2 linked regions of the Lepisosteus oculatus genome follow. The protein of the gene in region 2 purifies or fractionates together with the protein of the main gene of each other region. This does not show direct contact. Links are inferred from orthologs where the notes say so. Each region holds a gene or a part of one and is shown on either strand. Other genes may lie near its edges.

Region 1 (9,804 bases), on a different chromosome or scaffold from region 2:
AAGACAGAGGTTTATACAGACTGATTGTCCAAAAAGTACAATGGAGCAAACATGCTGTCCATAGAGGAGCAAATGAAGGGCTAACAGTCCTAGCCCAGGGCAGCATTATACACCCTGACAGGCGCCAGGAGGAAAGACCTGCGGAAACATTCCCTTGAACAACGTAGCTGGAGCAGTCTGTTGCTAAAAGAGCTCCGCTGCCCAGTAACAGTCCCATGAAGTGGATGAGAGGTGTTGTTCATGATGGCTGTGAGCTTGGTCAGCATTCTCCTCTCAGCCACCACCTCCATGGGGTCAAGGCTCATCCCCAACACAAAGCCAGCCTTCTTGATGAGTTTATTGAGCCTATTTGCATATTTTGTCATGATGCTGCTGCCCCAGCACACAACAGCGTAGAAGATGGCCGCTGCCACCACTGATTCATAAAAAATGTGTAGCAGTGTTCCACACACACCAAAGGACCTGAGCCTCCTAAAAAATAGTCGATTCTGACCTTTCTTGTACAGGGCGTCAGTGTTACCAGACCACTCCAGCTTATCATCCAGGTGTACCCCTAAGTACTTGTAGGAATATACGCCCTCTATGTCCTCACCCTGGATGGAAACAGGGTTCAGCGGAGACTTATTCCTTCATGAAGAACATACAAATAAAACATTCCATTAATTGGTCTGGATAAGTGTATCAAAATGACTGAACTTCCTTTAATTTTCTGTTTCCTGACTATGATCTTTCTGTAAAGCTGTCTGTAAGGAAGTCGGCAGTTATTTTATTTCTCAGCTTTGTTAGGTCTGTTTACAGTTGCTTTATGTGTGTATAGTGTTTACAGATATTTATAGAATTTACAGATACAATATTTACAGAATACATACAGCATACAATGTGAGAGTGTATATGTACATGCAATAGGTAAGTATATACAGATACATTGTGTATGTCTAAATATGCTAAAAGTTATTTAGTTAAAGGTTAAACAACTTCCCACATTGCTGGGAACTATCTTAGCATAATAAATTAAAGCATATAATTCAGTAGGTGTTTCTTAATTTATTGGTATCAAATAATCATTTTATTTAGTAAGATATCAGCATGTCTCCATAGATTTTTTCTTTATAATCTGAAAAAACACTCCAAAATCATACATCTTTCCTAAATAAATGGTAGAATAAACGACCATTTTCCCCTTTTAATATAGCATATCCATTGACAGTAGTCATCAAATGAAAATAATTTCAACAAACGGACCTTATTTCAATAATACAACCTTAAAAAGAAACTAATCAATTCCTAACCTGAGAACACTAAAGTTGTTCTCCTGTAAACTTCCTGTAAACATTGCAACAGAGATTTTGACACAGAACAGTTCTCATTTTCACTCATGGGAAGGCCTGCTGTCCTGTGGTTCAGGTATATCTATTCTATCCTATTACACCCTGGACTCAAATAGGTTGGTCATTGCTTTTCAGTTCTTTTGAATACACACCCTCTCCTGCATAATCTATCACATTAGGCATCGCTCAATACACTTGGTAATTTACTGTAAAACTAATATGTGCTTTACACCAGTAACCGTCCATGATAAAACTGGTGTTACTCAAGTTCCTCATGACATGCAGATTTCTCATCACGTCTTATTAGTATTCTTGAGTGAATATTTTGAATTGGTCATCTTTGTTAGATTTTCTGCATGTACTGTATCACTTATTCTTAGGAATTAGGGCAAAATGGTTTTCCCAACATTAATGCTAATAATTTATTCTCATCTTAAATCTGTCCTAAAAATTTAAAAGAATATAAAAATAAACACAACATTTTCTGGAATGAGAATACTATAGTTATAGCTTATGTACCTTCATAAAAAAGTCATCAATTTGTTTTAAGCCCTCTGACCAGCAATACAGCTTGTACAGTGAGGCATTGCAACTTGCCCATCACATGAAAGCTCGTTAGGTGTAATTTTACCCAATGAGGTCACCTTTAAAAAAGGCCTTAATTGAAAACTTAGGTCACTGCAAGAAAAAAGGACACACAGTAGTTTTTTGTGCATTCCATAATGCCTTGAATGTCACCAGAAGCAAGGGAGAGGGCCATTGGCATGCTGCAAGCAGGCATGTCATGTGCCAGTGTTGCCAGACACTATGGAGTAAGCTGCTCCACTGTGTCCCGGCTGAATAGAAGGTTTCAGCAGACGGGCAGGATAGATGACCATCCAAGATCCGGTCGCCCTCGAGTGACCACACCAGAGCAGGAGAGAGACATCAGACTGGTCCATCTGAGAGATCGTTTCAGATCTGCCACCCACACTGCTGCTGAAACTGCCAGCAGACACATTGCTTGCGTCAGTGACAGGACAGTGAGGCTCCATGCTGCTGGCCTTAGAGGAAGGCGACCTGTTAGAGCCCCTCTGCTCACATCTCCTAGATGACAGCCACCTGGCTTGGGCCAGACAGAGGCTGCGATGGACTCATCAGCAGTGGCAACAGATCCTCTTCATGGATGAGTCACTCTTCAGCCTGTTCCACATAGATGGGATAGGTGTGGAGTAGGAGATGTTGCATTTCTTTTTTCCATCAGTATAGATACAGCTATGCGCCGACAGTACTTTAGCTTTTTCTGCTATAGTATTTAAAGAAATGAAGGATGTTATACAATACTTTAACAAGAATCTACAAGCAGGTACTCTGGACTGGGGTCATACTAATTAGAAAAAAACAGTGTTATATCCATTTTAATCATATTTTCACAGATAACATGGATTTAGAAAGAGTATATCTTGTTTAACTGCATTACGGAATTTTTTTAACAAGCAATGTTAGCAGTGGTTACAATAAAAGCCTATGAAATACTACAATTCCATGGAGAAAAAGGTTTGTGAGCCCTCTAGTCTGGCTCATAGTCTCTTAGACTTAACATAATTACGTGGGCAGTGTGGTGGTGCAGTGGTTAGCATTACTGTCTCACAGTGGTAGGGCCTTTGGTTCAGTTCCAGACCTGGGGTGCTACCTGTGTGGAATTTGAGAGTTCTCTCCATGTTCATGTGGGGTTTTTCTGGGTGCTCTGGTTTCCTCTCAGAGTCCAAAACATACTGGTGGGTTAACTGGCTTCTAGGAATATTGGCCCCGTTGTGTGTATGTTTATATCTGTGTGTTCCGTACGATTAAATTGTATTCCATTCAGGGTTTATCTTGCTTTATACCCACTGATTACCAGGATAGGCTCTGGTTGCCCTGCAACCCTGAATTGGATAAAGTAGCTAGAAACTGTATGGATGGATAACCTGAAATCAATGTATAATGCAAAGACATAAGAAATGTGTGGATTATTTAATTAACAAAATTATTTTATAGAAAATATCCTAATGTGAATAAGTAAGTTATCACAGTAACTGGTGGCACCTCCTTGAGCAACATTAGACATTTCCTGCAACTTTTTATCAGTCTCTTGCATCAGTTTTCAGGAATGTTGGCCCATTTGTCCTTACATGCTTCAGGTCAGTGAAATTTGATGGTTTCTTTGCATGAAGAGTTTGCTTCCGACTCTACCCTAACATTTCATTGTGGTTTTAGATCCATACTTTGACATGCCCCATCCAAAATGCAAACTTTCTTCTTTTGCTATTGCTCGTTTGTTTAGGGGCATTTTCTTGCTGCATGACCTTATTTCGGCTCTGCTTCAGTTGACGAATGAATGACCTGTTATTCTGCTCTTTAATTTACTAAACATAAATATAGATATCGTGGTTCCATCGATGATTGCAAGCTGTCTGAATCCGGAGGCAACAAATCAGCCCCAAGCTATGAATTTTCCAACACGATGCTTAGATGGTCAGAATGAATTTCTTTTGTTGGAAGGAAGCTTTTTGGCCACACTGACACTGGCTACAGAGAGGCCTGCAGATCCCTAGATGTGACACTAGGATTCTTAAATTATTTAGCTGCTTGCTCTTGGGAAGATCTTGGCAGGATGACTGGTATTGGGTAACGACACCATTTGTTGACATCTGTCTGACAGCTGATGGATAGAGCTCCAAATGTATAGAAATTGCTTTATAACTCTGCCCAGACTGATCAGCATCAACTACTCTGTTTTTTTAAGTCCACTGAAATTTGAGGTTGTTCCACTAACTTGTTAAGGGCAGATCAAACTCCCAAAGTTTCTAGCCATTATACTGTATAAGACAAAGTTATCCAGACTCAGGCCTTTACTTATTTACTTATTACCCAATTATTCAATCACCTGATTGTAATTACCACGCGAAATGTGCAAAGTATACTATTGTTTTGCATTCACCGATTCTAAGTTACCATTATTTTCTCCATGCTGTTGCACAGAGAAAAAAAACGTTCAAATTAACATTAATGTAGAAAAATGCCGAATATTATATGTACTGTAGGCTCCTTCTCTGTCCTGTCCCTAGTTTCCTGTGGTTTCCTCTCTTTCCGGTGTCTCTCTCTCTGGGGTTATATATTTCCGGGTCACTTATTCTGTTTCGCTCAGCATTGACGTTCAGATGTCCTGAGACCCACCTAGCACCAGGTCGCTGCTCTGTCTGTGGCCTGAGGGCATAGGTTTCTATACGGCACTCCAGAACTCTTTGCACTGCTGAACCCGGGCTAACTCCCCGTTCCGCCACCTTTCATAGGGTCTTTTTCCGTTCTCCTGCCATTCCATGGTTCGTCCCTTCCAACATCCGTGACACTGGTTGGAATCCTGACTTAGCTGAATCCGGGGCTCGGAGCGCCTGGCCTCATCATTCCGTTTTTTACTTCATAGTCCCAGATCCTGTTCTTGTTTTTACTCTCGTCTCGTCTTGGATGGATCACCTGGTTTGGGATTTTGGACTGCTCCCGGATTTCCTACATTGGATTGTTTTTGGACTTGTTTGCCTGCTCTCCCCCATTGCACCTGATCACTGTCAGCACCGCCCCCTGTTCGCCATCCCTTCTACTCCTCACCGTGTTTTCCCTGTAGCCCTGCTCCAGCCACTTCCGTATTATACCATCTGCATAGGGTCCTAAATACACACTACACGGGACCGACTCCCGTGACACACATGACTATTAAGGATTGCACTAAGGGTTATGTTTCTCTGGAAAAAAACTACATGGAGTGTATAACAGAAGATCCTTATCTTGATTAATTCTTCTCTTCTATATATACACTGTCTCATCTTCTGGACATTCCTTTGGGTGTTTCTCTCACACTCCTCTCATCTCTCCATCTTCACCCTTGCAGCAGCTCTCTTGGAATATTATATTCCATGTAATATTAAAATGTAATTCCCTTTCCATTAGTGAACTACTGATACAATATATGAAGAAGAACAGGAAACAGAGAAAAAATAACAGAGACCCAAAGGGAAAGTCACGAATTTAAATGTAAAAGTCTATTTGTTCAGTACAGAAGATATTATGGTGATCTAGAAAAAAAAACATTACCAATAAAAGCCTTTATAAAGTTCTCATTTGTTTTCATATCCCCACATGCACAGTTATTTGCATTATGAAACAATTTAAAAACGATATATAAATGGGGAAAATGTAAGGGATGGGAAAGTAGGAGTAACAATACCTTGATAGAGAAGTGCAGTGTCATGCCAGCACTGTGTACTTTGATACCTTTTTGTTACCCAGTCACGTTTGACTTCATCTGCTGTCAGTACATCAAAACTATTATCTTGTAGAATGCAGATAAACTCTCAAATTGTTTTTGTAAAATAATAAATATATTATGATTTTCAGATTTGATACCAAAAATATTTTGAGGTAAAGGTTTGGATGTGGCATGGAACAGATTTTTACAAAAATAGTATTACACTTCATTCTTTAACTGTTATTAATATGAAACACTTCAAGAGTAAATAACATGCGTTTTGTTTGACTCACAGGGTGGACATATTCTTTGTAAGTAACTATATTCAAATTTCTCTATAAAAATTCTACAAGGAGCTCAGCATTTATGTAAAATTAACAATTAATTCCTTAGATGTACTTAAAACTCTGAATCTGATCAATTAGAACTTGGTTAAGAAAAAAATAGCTTTAACCTGTTCTCGAGAATCACTGTGAAGCCTAACTGTATGCAAGAGTTTTGAATATGGGTTTCTAATTTAAGAAATTGCGTGTCGGTGTGCCATCACTATTATTAACTACTGCTGTGACGGACTTTAGGACCCGGAAATACGGTTTAAAAAGAAAACAGTTTGAGGAACTACTGCTACAGTAAGAGCTCACTCCTTAAACGGAGCAGAAATATTTCCTTGGCTGTGATATTAAAATCCTATTCCCTTTGCATTGTTACATAAAAGGGAACTGTAACGGCTACTGTTACATAAAAGGAAACACATACATGAAAAGATACAAGAGTTACCTTTTTCTTTTGACATCTAAATCAAAATGAAAGAATTACACTTTAAAGGCAATTTCTGGGTAAGTGGATTTATGTTCTTTACTTAAACCCAAATGACTGTCGATTCTGTAATACTTTTGTCAAGCACTTTATTGCACTTTAAAATGTGTTGCCAAGTTGACCAGTCGGGAAATGATTTGGCAGTTGACCTCTGCGTACGTTCAGTTAATGAAACTGAAGGTGAAAAGAAAATTGTGATTTATTATTTCTAATTTCTAATGATATCGGCGAAAGAAAGCTTTTATGCATTTTCTTCAGTAAATATGCAAAACCTATTAACCTGCTTGAAACATATTCGTATGTGTTTGTTCCATATTACTTTTTGTGGGACTTTATTTAAAAGTCTGGCGCTTTTATTCACAGATTCTATATAGATTATATGTATTTGATATTATTTAACATCCTCCTCTAAAATTGCATATAGAAATAATTTGCTGCTCACCGTCTTGCTTGTTTCTGTTTTGTGCCCGGAGCTAATGATTCAGCTTGAAAATATTTTTCTTTATGGAGCTGGCACACAACGAGAGAAGATAATCTGTCTGCTGGAGTTGCTGAAATGTTACTGTAGATTGGGAAAAGGTAGATACAACACTCTAGGATCCTTTACCAAATTCTTCACTTCGCCTCGCTCACTTCTCACTTCACATTGCACAAACCTTACACTTCACGAACAAGGTGACCTGGAGTTTGAAATTATGACCCGCATATGCAACAAGGCTATTGCAGAGAGACATGAAAGGAAAACACGGTTTAGGTAATACCAAATCACAACTGTCTTACATCCTTTAAAAAGGTCATTTTATACAGTATATTCAGTATCCAACAGTGTTCCAATCCTAAATATGCCCATACGAGTCTTTTATTTATGTTTTATCTTTTTCTTAGTAATTAACTTTCTAGGTATAACCCAAGCCTTTATTCTCATCATTTAACTGTTCACGTTTACTGATGAAAAATTTAATGTATCACTCACATGCCTATTTTTTGCAGCTCATTTGCTTCATAGTAATTAGTAGAATTAATTATTTTGCAATTGTAACACATGTGGATTTTCATGGACTGCACAGCGGGTAGTACTGTTGCTTCACAGCTCCAAAATTTTGGGTTGAAGTCTAAATCCATGTGTGTGGAGTTTGCATGTTCACCACTGCTTTGTGTGGGCTAACTCCAGTTTCCTCCCACATGTTGTTCAAGTCAATTGGCTCCCTCCGTCGTGTAATTTCAATCTGATGGGTTAGACTCTAACTCATTGTGATTCTTTAAGGAACTTCACATTAGAACCATGGTAAGAGGGTAATTGCTGACAGGGTATGGTAAGTTACAGTGATGTAAATGGCTTTAGATCTGACATAATACATTTTATTATAAATATCTTGCATACGTAATGCATGGAGCTGTGCTCAGCAGCTATATCACCCTGTAACTCAACCTTGTAATGGCAGCCCACTGAAGCTCAGCAGGTGTGGGCCTGACCAGTATCTGGATGGAGACCTGGAAAAGCTAAGGTTGCTCCTGGAAGAGGTGTTAGTGGGGCCAGTAGGTGGCGCTCACCCTGCGCTCTGTGTGGGTCCTAATGCCCCAGTATAGTGTAACACTACTACTACTATACTGGAAAAAGGGTGCCATCCTTCGAATGAGACATAAAACCAACTGACTCTTTGTGGTCCTTAAAAATCCAAAGGTGTTTCTCAAAAAGAGTAGGGGTGTTACCGTGGTGTTCTGGCCAAGTTTCTCATTGGCCTTTACCAGTCATGGCCTCCTAATAATCCCCATCTATGAATTGGCTTCATTACTCTGATCTCCTCCCCACTGATAGCTGATGTGTGATGAGGCACTGGTGCACAACGGCTGCAGGTGGGTGCTGCACATTGGTGGTGGGGGTATGTGCTCATTACCTCGAAAGTGCTTTGAGTGGTGTGCCCAGAAAAGCGCTATATAAACAGAAGGATTATCTTATATTAAAGCTGGATTTGATTGGACAGTTGACAATCCCCGTCCCCAAGAGACCAAGATGTGTCCCAGAGTAGAAATCGAAACAATCTAGTTTTCAAGGGGACGACATCACTTCTGTAACACAGTCACCGCACTGAGTCCTAATACACTTCCACACAATGCTTTACGTGCATGAATGGACCCCCTTCATTCACTGAAGTGCACCACCATGTGTGACTGCACAGCAGGTCAGGTGGAGAAGTGAGAAGTGACTTTGCCAATTAAATTCAAGGGGAATGTTAAGAATGCCGCAATGACATCTTAAAAGGCAAGTACTCTGGACCTTGGTTCAGTGTCTCATGTAAAGGACAGCACCACCTACCACACAGTGTCCTTGTCCACCAGTTTTGGAGTACTGGTTTGGAAATTTTGAACAAAAAGGAAGAGTGCTACTGTACCCCCTAGTCCAGCAGCTTTACTTAAAGCAGCAAAAATCAGGTGCAGCTTTGGTTTGCTTCTGACATACTGTATGTTGAGTTCAGGCTAGAAGGTGGTAACACAGTTTATGTGTACACATTAGTATTTTTATCAGTATGTTATGTGTCTACCAGTTCTTATGTAACATAATTTCTACTCGAGCACCTCTATAACTGTTCACAACTATAGATTTATTAACAGTCTACTTCTTTAAGTAGTACAAGTTACCTTACAAATACAGCAATCTGAAACCTCTAAAAGATTATATCAAATACACTACACAGAAAAGGAAACTACACAATGAAATCTTGAACAAGTTAATGTTTCACGTTCTGTAAACATGAGATAGGGCTTATTCTCTAGTTTAGGCACTATTGACCCCTTTTTTACTTTTAAGGAACAAATATTTCTGGCCTCATTTCTTCTACATTTTAACCCCACTTCAGGTTCTGTACATGTTATAATTTATGAGGACTGGAATCTGATTTAACAATTTCCATGGGTTCTGCTGAGCATTACCGAAATAGCCAATTTAAAAATATCAACAAAGTACCGTTCCAAAATATTACAAGGTAAAGCGATGGAATACTGATGTGCTGTTGCTCAGCCTTTTGGACTGCAAAAAAAAATTAAATAGAAGTAAACATTAAGAGTAAAAGTCATCATGTTTCACTGGACATCTTAGATTTCAGTTCTCATTTCTTCATGTTGTTTGCTAGATGTAAGTTTTGTTTTCCAAATTGGATTTGTTTTCTTTATTATATTCATATTAACAAAATTGTTGAAGATTGGAAAGAAAATTATATGTCTAATGCGGTACACACGGTATTTATTCGGATTTAGAAAAGTACTAACTCATGTAAAAAAGTACATATCATCAGGAAGGCATTGTTTGGTAATACTTTTAAGGGTGCTCTAAATCACAATTTCTAAGTGTATAACAGTTATCAACAATGAAGTAGCCATTAATAAAGTACTATATGTATAACT
Region 2 (9,883 bases):
GTTTAGCCATTTAGCCAGCTACATTTTTAGAAGCATAAAAAATAAGAATTGTAGTTTCTCATCAATTTCTGAGATGAGTGCTTTAGGTGTTACAGAAAAACAATTACAAGTGAAGCCTTTTAGCCTATCTCGCTCACTGGGTCTTAACTGTGATCACAACAGAGGTATAGTTACAGAGTGTTTTTACCAGAAAACCAGAACACATCAATAAGATAAAGGACAGCAACTACATTCTGTGCTGTGAAAAAGTTTGTAACTTAACAAGTGGTGTGTTAAGACAGTAATCACTTATTGACAATTTGGCAAATATTGTGAATGAGTGATATAGTCTTTAAGTATTGAATTTCATGAATATCACCCAATTATGTGTCCTAAGAAGCCTTTTTTTGCATTACCATTTCTCTTTCTTGCTAATAATTCCATCATAAAATTGTTTTTTTTATCTTCACGTCAGAGATGGAAAGTGTGTAGCAGTTGAAGAAGAGCACATCAGAAGCTTGTTTCTGAGACACATATTCCTGTGGTCAGGTTTGAGAATTTTGTCGGGAACCTAAAATTTGTTGAAACAGACTGTTTTTTGTTTGCCTGAGAAAGAACAGTGTACTCAGAATCTGTGTTAGGGAAACACACGGAACTTGCACACAAAATGATTTTGTAGCAAGGAATTACTTTGCATGCCCACACCAGCGAATTATTTCTGTAATGTCAATACTTGCTTCAGCTGTCTTTCAAAACACGCTAATGTAATTGGAAAAAATAATAAACTGCCCTGTGAACAAATCTTGAATAGTGATTCATAATTATACAATACACTGCTGGTGGAAGCCGTACCCCGGTTTCTCAGTCTCAAAATAACAGCTGCTTGTTTGGGTTTCGCCAGCAGTTCTGTATCTGGTGAGGGGGTACTCAAAGATAGTCTGGATAATAAGCGGTGTCTCATGTTTTCTTTGATACTTCAAGTATGGGCATGATAAACAGAACAGGGCTTTTAAATCTCCACCCTGATTTCCCTTTTTTTCAGTCTGGCCTAGCATGAAGCTAACCCTGAGAAACTTAAGCTGAAAGCCAAGCAAAAACGATCCCTGGTAATGATGAAACAGATTCCACTTTGTTAAACACTACTGTTCACTCTCATATCAGAAGAAACATGTGGGTCATGTGGAAGAGTAAGAATAAGAGCCTTTCATGCTGTCAAACAAATTAACAATGGTATACAGTGCAAAAACTAAGTATGTGCAAATCATAAGAAAGCTTTCATTGGGAAAGCATGGTAAAGCAAGAGGGAAAATTAGAAAGTTTTGCTGAAGGAAAAACTTTCATACTAAAAAAAATTTGTATTTTTCTGCTTTGCTTTTTCAATTTAAAAATATGAGAAGAACCAATGTCCTCTTACATGCAGCATGATTCACGGACATGTATTCTTTGTACATTTTTAAATATGTTATGCTTGGGGAGATGATGCAGTGGCTCTGTGGCTAAAGATCTATGCCTGTGGCTGGAAGGTTGCTGGTTCATATCCTGCAGCTGGTGGAGGAATCCTACTCTGGTAGGTCCCTCAGCAAGGCCCTTAACCCCAACTGCTCCAGGCGTGCCATATAAATGTCTGACCCCGAGCTTCTGTCCATGTTTTTTTTTCATTTGTGCAATACAAATTGTAACAAAGATCTGTTATTGAATATATATAGCACAAATAGACTGTCTGAAAAAATATTCAGGATCATTTTGATCACCCATCTACCAATAGAAATTGACTCACAGTGCCTGTGTCTTTTGGGCCAGTAGCCTGCATGCACCTTAATCTGGCCCTGTGTGTAGCCTGTTCCACACTCCCGCAGCCTTTTGCATAAAGAAGTGCCTCCTGTTTTCAGCTTTAAATGCCCTTCACATCGTTTCCTCTTGTGTCCTTGGCATTGTGTTTCACTGTTCATTTTGAAGCTCTTCACTTGGTTGATTTGCCAGTGCCGTTGATTGGATCCCCTTCTACTCCTCTCTGTTCAAATCTGAATATGTTTGATTCCTTCAGCAGCAGTATAGGACACAGAATACACTTGGAAGCTATTCTCTGGACTTATGTTGGATTCAGTATGATGCAATGATCACCTGACTCACACACACATGGTATTTTATGTGCATATGGTGCATATGGTATTTTATGTGCTAGGTGTTTAGGTTTCCATGTACAGTCCATTTTATTCACCCTGAGAGAATGTTATGCAGACTCTAGCAATGTTAAAGAAAGCAGGTCTCCCCCCCTTTTTGGATTTTCTCTATTTAACACAGTTCCCCATGTTTACAGATTGCTAGAAAATTGCAATATAGCAAATGCGCGCTTAGACCTCAGACCAGAAAAGTCTCTAAAACACCATTTTTTTGTTTGGCAATTGTCAGAGAATCACATGAAGTATTGCACTTCTGTAATAATAAGAATACACCTCTAGAAACTGAATACTGTCCTTACCTTGGGCCCCATAGTTAGTACATTTGAACAGGAGAGAACATGCGCAATTAAGTATCATTTTGAAATGTTCTTGATGCCTGTTTCTTTGTTAGGTCTGAAACCAATGATCCTTCGACTTTACAAATACAGACTGGAAGGATCCAGAAGAAGAATACAGTACATGTTAAAAGGTTTTCATATAAAGGTCTGAGACTTACAGCATTTATGCTTTGTATTCTCCTTTCATGCGCTCACTTCAGACATCTATTTTTTAGCACACTGTCCCAAGCATTAGACAGTGCTCCTCTGTCTTTCGCTGAAGCCCACTTGAGGAGTGGAGGGGGTTGTCACAAGACGAGAACACTTTCCCTGGGGGAAGATGATAAATGAAGCATAGGGGTGAGCTGGGTATCTCTTATTTCCCTGGAGGGAGGCTTGTCTCATGATAACCATCCAGCAGCCAAATATTCTTGGTAAACACGGGGAGAAAACGGAGAATACAATAACGTTGTTCAATAATCTAGCATGAATGAAAAAAGTGAAAATCATTCGGCTCAGAAGCTGTTCCATTTCTCCCCCCCCCCCGAATCTTATTCATTGTAAAAGGAAGAAAATCCCACTCAAGTGATATTGATTGGAGGACCTATTGAATTTAAAGGATCTGAGCTCATGCGCTTATTTCAACCCCCAAAGCCCCTATTTTGGATTTCTTAATATACGATCCGCAGCTACTAACTACCTACAATGTATTTCCTTTCGAGGTGGACTACAAGCAAATCTGACGTTAGCTAGAACATATTGTGACGCATACGGCCTCCATTGCTTGCGAGAGCTGGCTTACCAGAGAAATGACGTCACCGCCCTTCCCTGTGGGTAGCAGGGACCGCAGCCGCTGGGCTGATGGGAGATTTCCCTTTGGCTCAAGAGGCTGGGTCCCTGTTGAGTGATGCCGGAGGCCTGGGTTTGAGTTCCTGACGGTGGGGGGCCGACCTGATGTGGCAGGGGCGCCCTGAACCCCGAAGCGTTACAATATGTAGCTGTGACAGATTAGACATGTTGCACTAAATGGATGAAGGTAAGTTCAGAGGAGCTGATACAGGAGGAACAGTAACCCATGTGGTTGTGTTACCTTTGCAGGCCAAGAATGTTGCCTGAGTTCATTTGAACACCACTCACGTCACAGGATTTGGATAGCCGGGGAGGCACACATTGACTGCACAAAAGAAGCTTTGTTTGGATAAACTCCCTTTTGAGATCTTTAAAGATTGAGACATGTTGTTAAGAAATAACAGGAATTCCTGTGTTCTCTTTAACCCTAAATATATTTATACCTGTAAACACCTTAGCAAAACCTACAGCTAAGCACTATGTGCAAGCAGTGTCTAATCATAGTCAAGTATAGTCCATAATACACCACTGTCTTGTAATGCTGTTTGAGATGTTGAAATTATAAATTCAATTCAACAGTAAAATACCATGAAAGCTGTGCTGTTCAGAGATTTTTCTACAATAGTTGTATTAAATATGTTTATTTCCATCGGCTTCTGTTTCATATATGAGGTTATTTAAAATGATCTATCATAAACATGACCTTGGTTCTACAAATCTAGGAGACAGTTGGGAAAGTTATTGTGGCAAATACCATAACTCATGAAATATAAAGAAGGCGCGTTGTAACAGCTATTTTATCAGCACCTGGTTAAACCCAGACTTCAGCTACATTCTAAGTTGTTATTACATAGGCACTGTGAATTAAGGGAGAGGATTTTGAATCATTTAATCAGGTCATCTCATAGTCTTCTCTGTTTAAGACCAAAAAGGTTCAGGTTTTTTAGGACATTCCCTTGACTTGATTCCAGGGCAGCAATATTCTTTTTCTGTGCCATAGTGACCAAACGTCAAACGTACACGTAATGAACTGTAGAAAATCACATGCTTTTAATAGAAAATCCATTTATTTAAATTATGTACTTATACCTACATATCCTAGCATGATGTTCTTTTATTGATTCTTCAGTTATCTAATGTTAATTTAAGGAAGCAAGTCTAGGAGTAACTCTTATTGCAGTCTGTGTCAACAGTCTCAAGGCCTGGTTTCTATGACCAAGATTAACTAAATCACCTGTCCTGGATTTAAAATAAAGCAGTCCAAGTCGCTAATCGGGATTTTGTGAAACCGCCGTCAAAACAACTTTTTTTTTTTATCAACAACTCCTTCAATGGTTACTACGTGGATTAATGTACACTGGATTCACTGCAATTCATTCAGGATCGCTATTAACAATGTTCTGCAACAAAATATTAAAAAAGGAATCAACCCATTTATCAAACTTTGAAACGCCAGCCCTCACATCATACAAAGAGACGGTGGGAGAGCGCAACGAACGATATCCCGTTTCGTAATCAAACTACGTGCCGTCGAAGTCGCGAAAGCGGGCGAGAGGAATGCTCCGCAGCTCGACTCCGACTGGGGAGACAGGGCGGGGTTGTCACGTCACGGCTCAGGAGCCTGATCCACGTGGCGAGCTGCAGACACCAAACAAGCGAAGCACAAAGCTCCGTCTCCAGGACGGTGTACTGCATGTTTATTGATTTATGGTAAATTAACGTTATTTTTAATCAATCTACTTAACTTGCATGTTCATTTTGTTTTCCCAACTGGTGTTCATATAGCTACCTCGACATGACCGAGCTTGGAAGTGGAAAGGGTTTATTTTGAACCTTTCTAAACGTTATGCCCTTTTCGTGTCGGGCTCTGAGAACACTGTGAAACCCCCTTTTCCGCGCGACTTAGCTATTCAGCAGACAACACTTGGAGCTGAACACACAAGCCCGAAGAAAGAAAGCGTTCTGAAGTCTTCCACTGAGCCTTTTTTTTCCTCCTCTCTCACAAAAACAACCCTCCCGCAGCCCGTGAGAAAGGTTTTCTGCTCTCCCCCCCCCCCAGTCAGTCACCTCACAGGTGGGTTTGTCCACGGGGCTGACAGGAGCTGCAGCCAATAGCGCGGCGCAGCCCCTGACGGGGTGATTGGCGTGGCCTCCAACCACTTAGAGCCTTGGAGAGAAAATACAGCGCAGGGTCGCCACCTCGACTGACGCACAACATGCGCCAATCAATAGGCGATATTTCCGCGCTGTGGGCCAATCGAAAAGAGTCGTGCTTCGGAGGGGGCGGGCACGGTTCATAGCGGCTTTTGGGCGGTCCTGCGGGGTAGTTTTGTTAGAGTTTAGTTGTGAATGTGGAAGAGAGGAGGTCGGGAGAAGTGGATCTGTGGTTCATGTTTTATTTTATAATACACCAGAAAGCGCATCGATTTGGATTATTTTCTTTAGGGGGCGGAGAACGTAGATATGGGACGATGAAGATTTGCAAGTGATTCTCAGTGGATTTTTTTTTTACATTATTTATTATTTATTCTATTTTTGTTCTGCGGACTCGTTTCTCGTGGGAAAGCTGCCGTTGTCTGGATCTGGAGAGGATGGATCAGGCTGCTGTCCTAAGGAAGTTCATTCAAGGGGTTCAGGCCATGCGGAGCAGGGACCAGAGAGGAGAGGATAACTTCGGCAGTGACTTCATGGTGAGAGAAGACCCCCCCCCCACACACACACACGCACACACACCCTCACACACAGACACACACCCTCTCCCATCCCCCTGCCCCAGGAGCGAAGGAGCTCCACTGCTGTTAGATCAGAACGACCCTTTAAATGGCTCACGGTGCTGCTGAAATGACAGCTGGTCTGAGCGCATTTTACGTGCTGGAGTCCCTCCGAGGCGTCCTGTCCCCGCTGCTCGCGTTTCCCCCTTCGGCTTCCCAGTGTACTTCCCAGGCTCTTGACGCGGCCTAACCCCCGGCTCCCGAAATCTGCTCCCCTTTCCGCGTCCGCAGCAGCCACGGTCGCACCGGGGGCTCGGGGGGCATCTACGCCGAAACTTGCGGCGTGACACACTTTCCATGGTTGCCCGCTTGCGAAATACGGCGTTGAGCGTGCGGTGGAGGAGGATGCGTCAGCGGTGATGATGATGGTGGTGGTAGTGTAGGGGGGCTTCACACCGCCGAAGCCCTTTTATTTCGGCGCTGTTGCATGCAGGCACACCGAGGTATCGGATGGTAAAGGATCCAACTCCGCTCCTGTGGGCGCAGCGCAGCTGGGGGGCTCGGAGGGTGGGGGAGGCGAGGTTCAACCACGCCAGACAGCAGCATCCTGTGAAAAATACATCCAGACACAACCCCACGCTGTGGATCAACCTTGTGTCCCCCCCCCGCAAACGGTGTATTTCTAGGCTAAGTACTTTGACTTGCTGGAAGACATATTAACATTTATACAATTTGGTGAATGTGCGCTGCTAGTTAAGGAGAAAAAAAAAAGTTTACCCCCACCCCAGCTATGCTTTTTACTGATGGGTAACCCGAGATGAACACGAAAGAATAATGCATTGTGCATTCTTTGTAATTGCTGCAACTTGATCGTGTAGTTGTCCGAACACATTCGCCAGAATCGGTGGAATAAGAGATTCCCTCCTGCCCGTGTTTTGATATTCCTCTAGGATGCAGTTTGTTGGCTCTTCAGCGGGCGATGTTGAGATCCCCTTGCCTCGGGTGCTTGCTCTTTCTTTGCGTGCTGTCAGCCCACCGGCGGGTTTGAAGGCTGTTTTGAGAGAAGAGAGTTTTTTGCTCGCTCAAACTGGGCCCAGTTGACTCAAGCGAGATGCGTTGTCTCTTTGTCGATGGAGTAGGGTTAGGAGCAGAGCAAGTGATTCAAGAAAGATGAATGTCACCAGGGATTTTGAGTGGGGGAAAAAAAATGCTGGGAGTTTGCGGATGTTGCGCAAGAAGTTGGGGCGTTGGATCCACTGCGTGCGAGCTCGGATAGGGAAAAGGAAGTGGGGTTAAGGATTCGGGAGATGAGCCATAGAAAACCTCGTTTTTGTTCGAAATTAAAACTTTCTTAAACAACGCGCACATTTTGTCCCAGTCAGCTCTGTATCTTTGTTTTGTTTTTTCGAAATCACCGGCTGGTATTTTCTGATGGAAGACCATAAAAAGCAGAGTATCTTGGTTATTCCCCAGCCCTCACTATTGTTGTTAACTTTGCTCTTTTTAAAACCTACTTCTTCTCCGTTAATATTGTCGATCCGTGTTATGCGTTTAATATCGTATTGGTGGCCATTGCGTGGCTTGTTTTATTTTCTCTGAAGCTGTAATCGCTTCTGTAAAAAAAAAAAACGTGCCCCGAGGCGTTAGACAGTACCAGCCCAGGTTTGCTGTTTCATGCAAACCGCTAGAAATTCCTGCCTGCTATAAACAGGATATTTAAATTGTGGGAAGTTGATTTTTTTTTACACTAAAGAGCTAAGGTTTAGGAAGGAAATAAAAGGGGACATTGACTAATGTTGCTGTGCATTTTCCGCAGTCCATTTAGCCTGGGTTGTGCACTATTGTTCTGTTTTTTTTTTCTCTCTGAGACTTTCCATCTACTGACCACTTATCGCCGCCTGAACGAATTGTATAAAGAAATAAATACAATCCGATACAGTGACCGGTTTAGAGGCCGCCGTTGGTTTTCAGCTGTCATTAAAGGGAATAAACGCTAAGCGAGTAGCGCTGTTTGAGAGGATTCAAATCGATATCCAGAATGTTTCCGACTGCCATCTCTTCAGGGGCTCACAGATTACAGATAACGCTTTGTGCGCAAATGGGAAGATGGGTTGAACCGCTCTGTGAATGAAGCAGCTGTAAGGTAGAGATGAGAAAGAGCACTTAATTTCGGTTTCAGCCCGGCAACGGCGTTGTTAAAAAAAAACTTAAGAAAATTTCTGAAATTACCTCGTCGTTTTTTGACTGCTTCTTGCGAGGGTGTGAAGCTTTTTTTTCTTGGGGGGGGGGGGGGGGCGATAGGGGTCATTCTGTAATTGAAATGTCTGCTGTCTCTTCCTAGATGTAATATATCTACCAGTGCTCTAGAGTCACAAGGGAGGAAAGAAGTAAAAGTGCTCCTGTCCTTAAAGGCATGCTTTGTTGTGGCACATGTCTAAAACAATTTGATAGGCTATTTTGTTCTCAAGACTTCAGTAGTCTATCTTGTTTTTCTTGTCCAGTGAACGTTTAAGTTTTATGCCTTCCTGAGCTCCAAGAGTAGTTCGGAGCCCATCGCTCATTCTTTACACATTTTTAAAATGCTAATACAATTAGAAAAAACAGGTTCAGAATTTAAAGTTTTTTTCTAGTAGCAATTATTTAAAAAAATCTTTTTTTAGGGAATGTGTGAAGAAATTGAATGGAAAGTTAGACCAATGCATATTTCCTACGCATATTAAACGGTGATGAACCTAATGTTTGTTTATTGACCTGGTGGTTTTAAACTTTTTGCATATGTTAAAAAATAGCCACGCAGCAGAATGGTAGACTGTTTATGTTTGGATAGCGACATGAGTGAATTTTATGCACTGGGGTTGGCTAGTGTGCTTCTAACATTTCTGCTGTCAAAATGAAGTTAAAAACACTTTCGTGTTTTAAGAGACTTCTATCCTTCTGAGGAAAAGGGTCTCCAGTGTGCAACGAGTAGTTTGACTGCTGTCTTCTGTGAACTTTGTGTTTCTCTGCAGGAGCCAAGTTCTAATGCTGTATGGTCACCTGTTATTGCAGCAGTGACGTTAAGTCTGACCGGACTCTGGTGCTTCTGTGATGTGGGCGAATCACAATGGGAAACATTTTATTATTCTTTGCAGGCTGTGCAAATTCAGCTTGCTACAGCTTGGATTATACAAAAGTCCCACCTGCATAACCACCAGATGATGTGACAGCTCATGAGAGACCCTGGGGAGAGTGAAGGCCTGAACGAGCTCTGAGGCTGTGAAGCACTTCCTCTCGCGCGGGGGGGGGTGCTCTCGGGCGTCTGCAGGCCTCCACTGCGAGGAGCTCGCGCGGCTGCCTTTCCAGAGCGTCGGTTTGCTAGCGCAGTCGATGGCAAGATGGACTGGACCTTCCTCTCGCCGCCTCACCCGGGAGGTGCCCAGATTTAGGGATGGGAGGCTTCAGTTTTGAAGGCGTTAGCAGTGGAGTGTTTTGGCCTGCAGATTTAAGCGATGGGATAATGTGGCGTATGATGATGATGATGATGATGATGATGGGAATGTAGTGCAGCTAGGCCGCCGGCTTGTCAATTCTGGGAGCAGGGAAGTGATGAATCAGGGAGATGGAAGAGGTGGGTTTGTCCGGAAGCTGCGAGGGGGTCTGTGTGCTGAGAGGCCTAATCCTGCAGTGAGCAGAGGTTGAAATAGACGAGGAGGGTGGGGAGCGGGCATCGGAGGTGCATGATGGTCCCACTGACACAGGCGGGCTCCTGTGGAACGGCGGAAGAGGTGCATGATGGTCCTAATGACACAGAAGGGTGGCGGCCCGAGATGATAGCAGGAGGTGCAGAGCTGGAGCAGGACAGAGGGGC

The links.
Region 1: the proteins of ptpn12 (region 2) and pstpip2 purify together in Homo sapiens (affinity purification with mass spectrometry; 4 studies listed by BioGRID and IntAct, counting the BioPlex papers as one, with this or other methods). This does not show direct contact. The link is inferred for Lepisosteus oculatus from reciprocal best matches to the Homo sapiens genes PTPN12 and PSTPIP2.

What each region holds. Positions count from the first base shown.
Region 1 is NC_090698.1:24,135,500-24,145,303, forward strand, and holds the start of pstpip2 (proline-serine-threonine phosphatase-interacting protein 2), read left to right. Parts: upstream 1-6,189; 5' UTR 6,190-6,392; coding exon 6,393-6,425; intron 6,426-9,804. UniProt on the Homo sapiens protein: Binds to F-actin. May be involved in regulation of the actin cytoskeleton.
Region 2 is NC_090702.1:34,023,668-34,033,550, forward strand, and holds the start of ptpn12 (tyrosine-protein phosphatase non-receptor type 12), read left to right. Parts: upstream 1-5,649; 5' UTR 5,650-5,916; coding exon 5,917-6,015; intron 6,016-9,883. UniProt on the Homo sapiens protein: Dephosphorylates a range of proteins, and thereby regulates cellular signaling cascades. Dephosphorylates cellular tyrosine kinases, such as ERBB2 and PTK2B/PYK2, and thereby regulates signaling via ERBB2 and PTK2B/PYK2.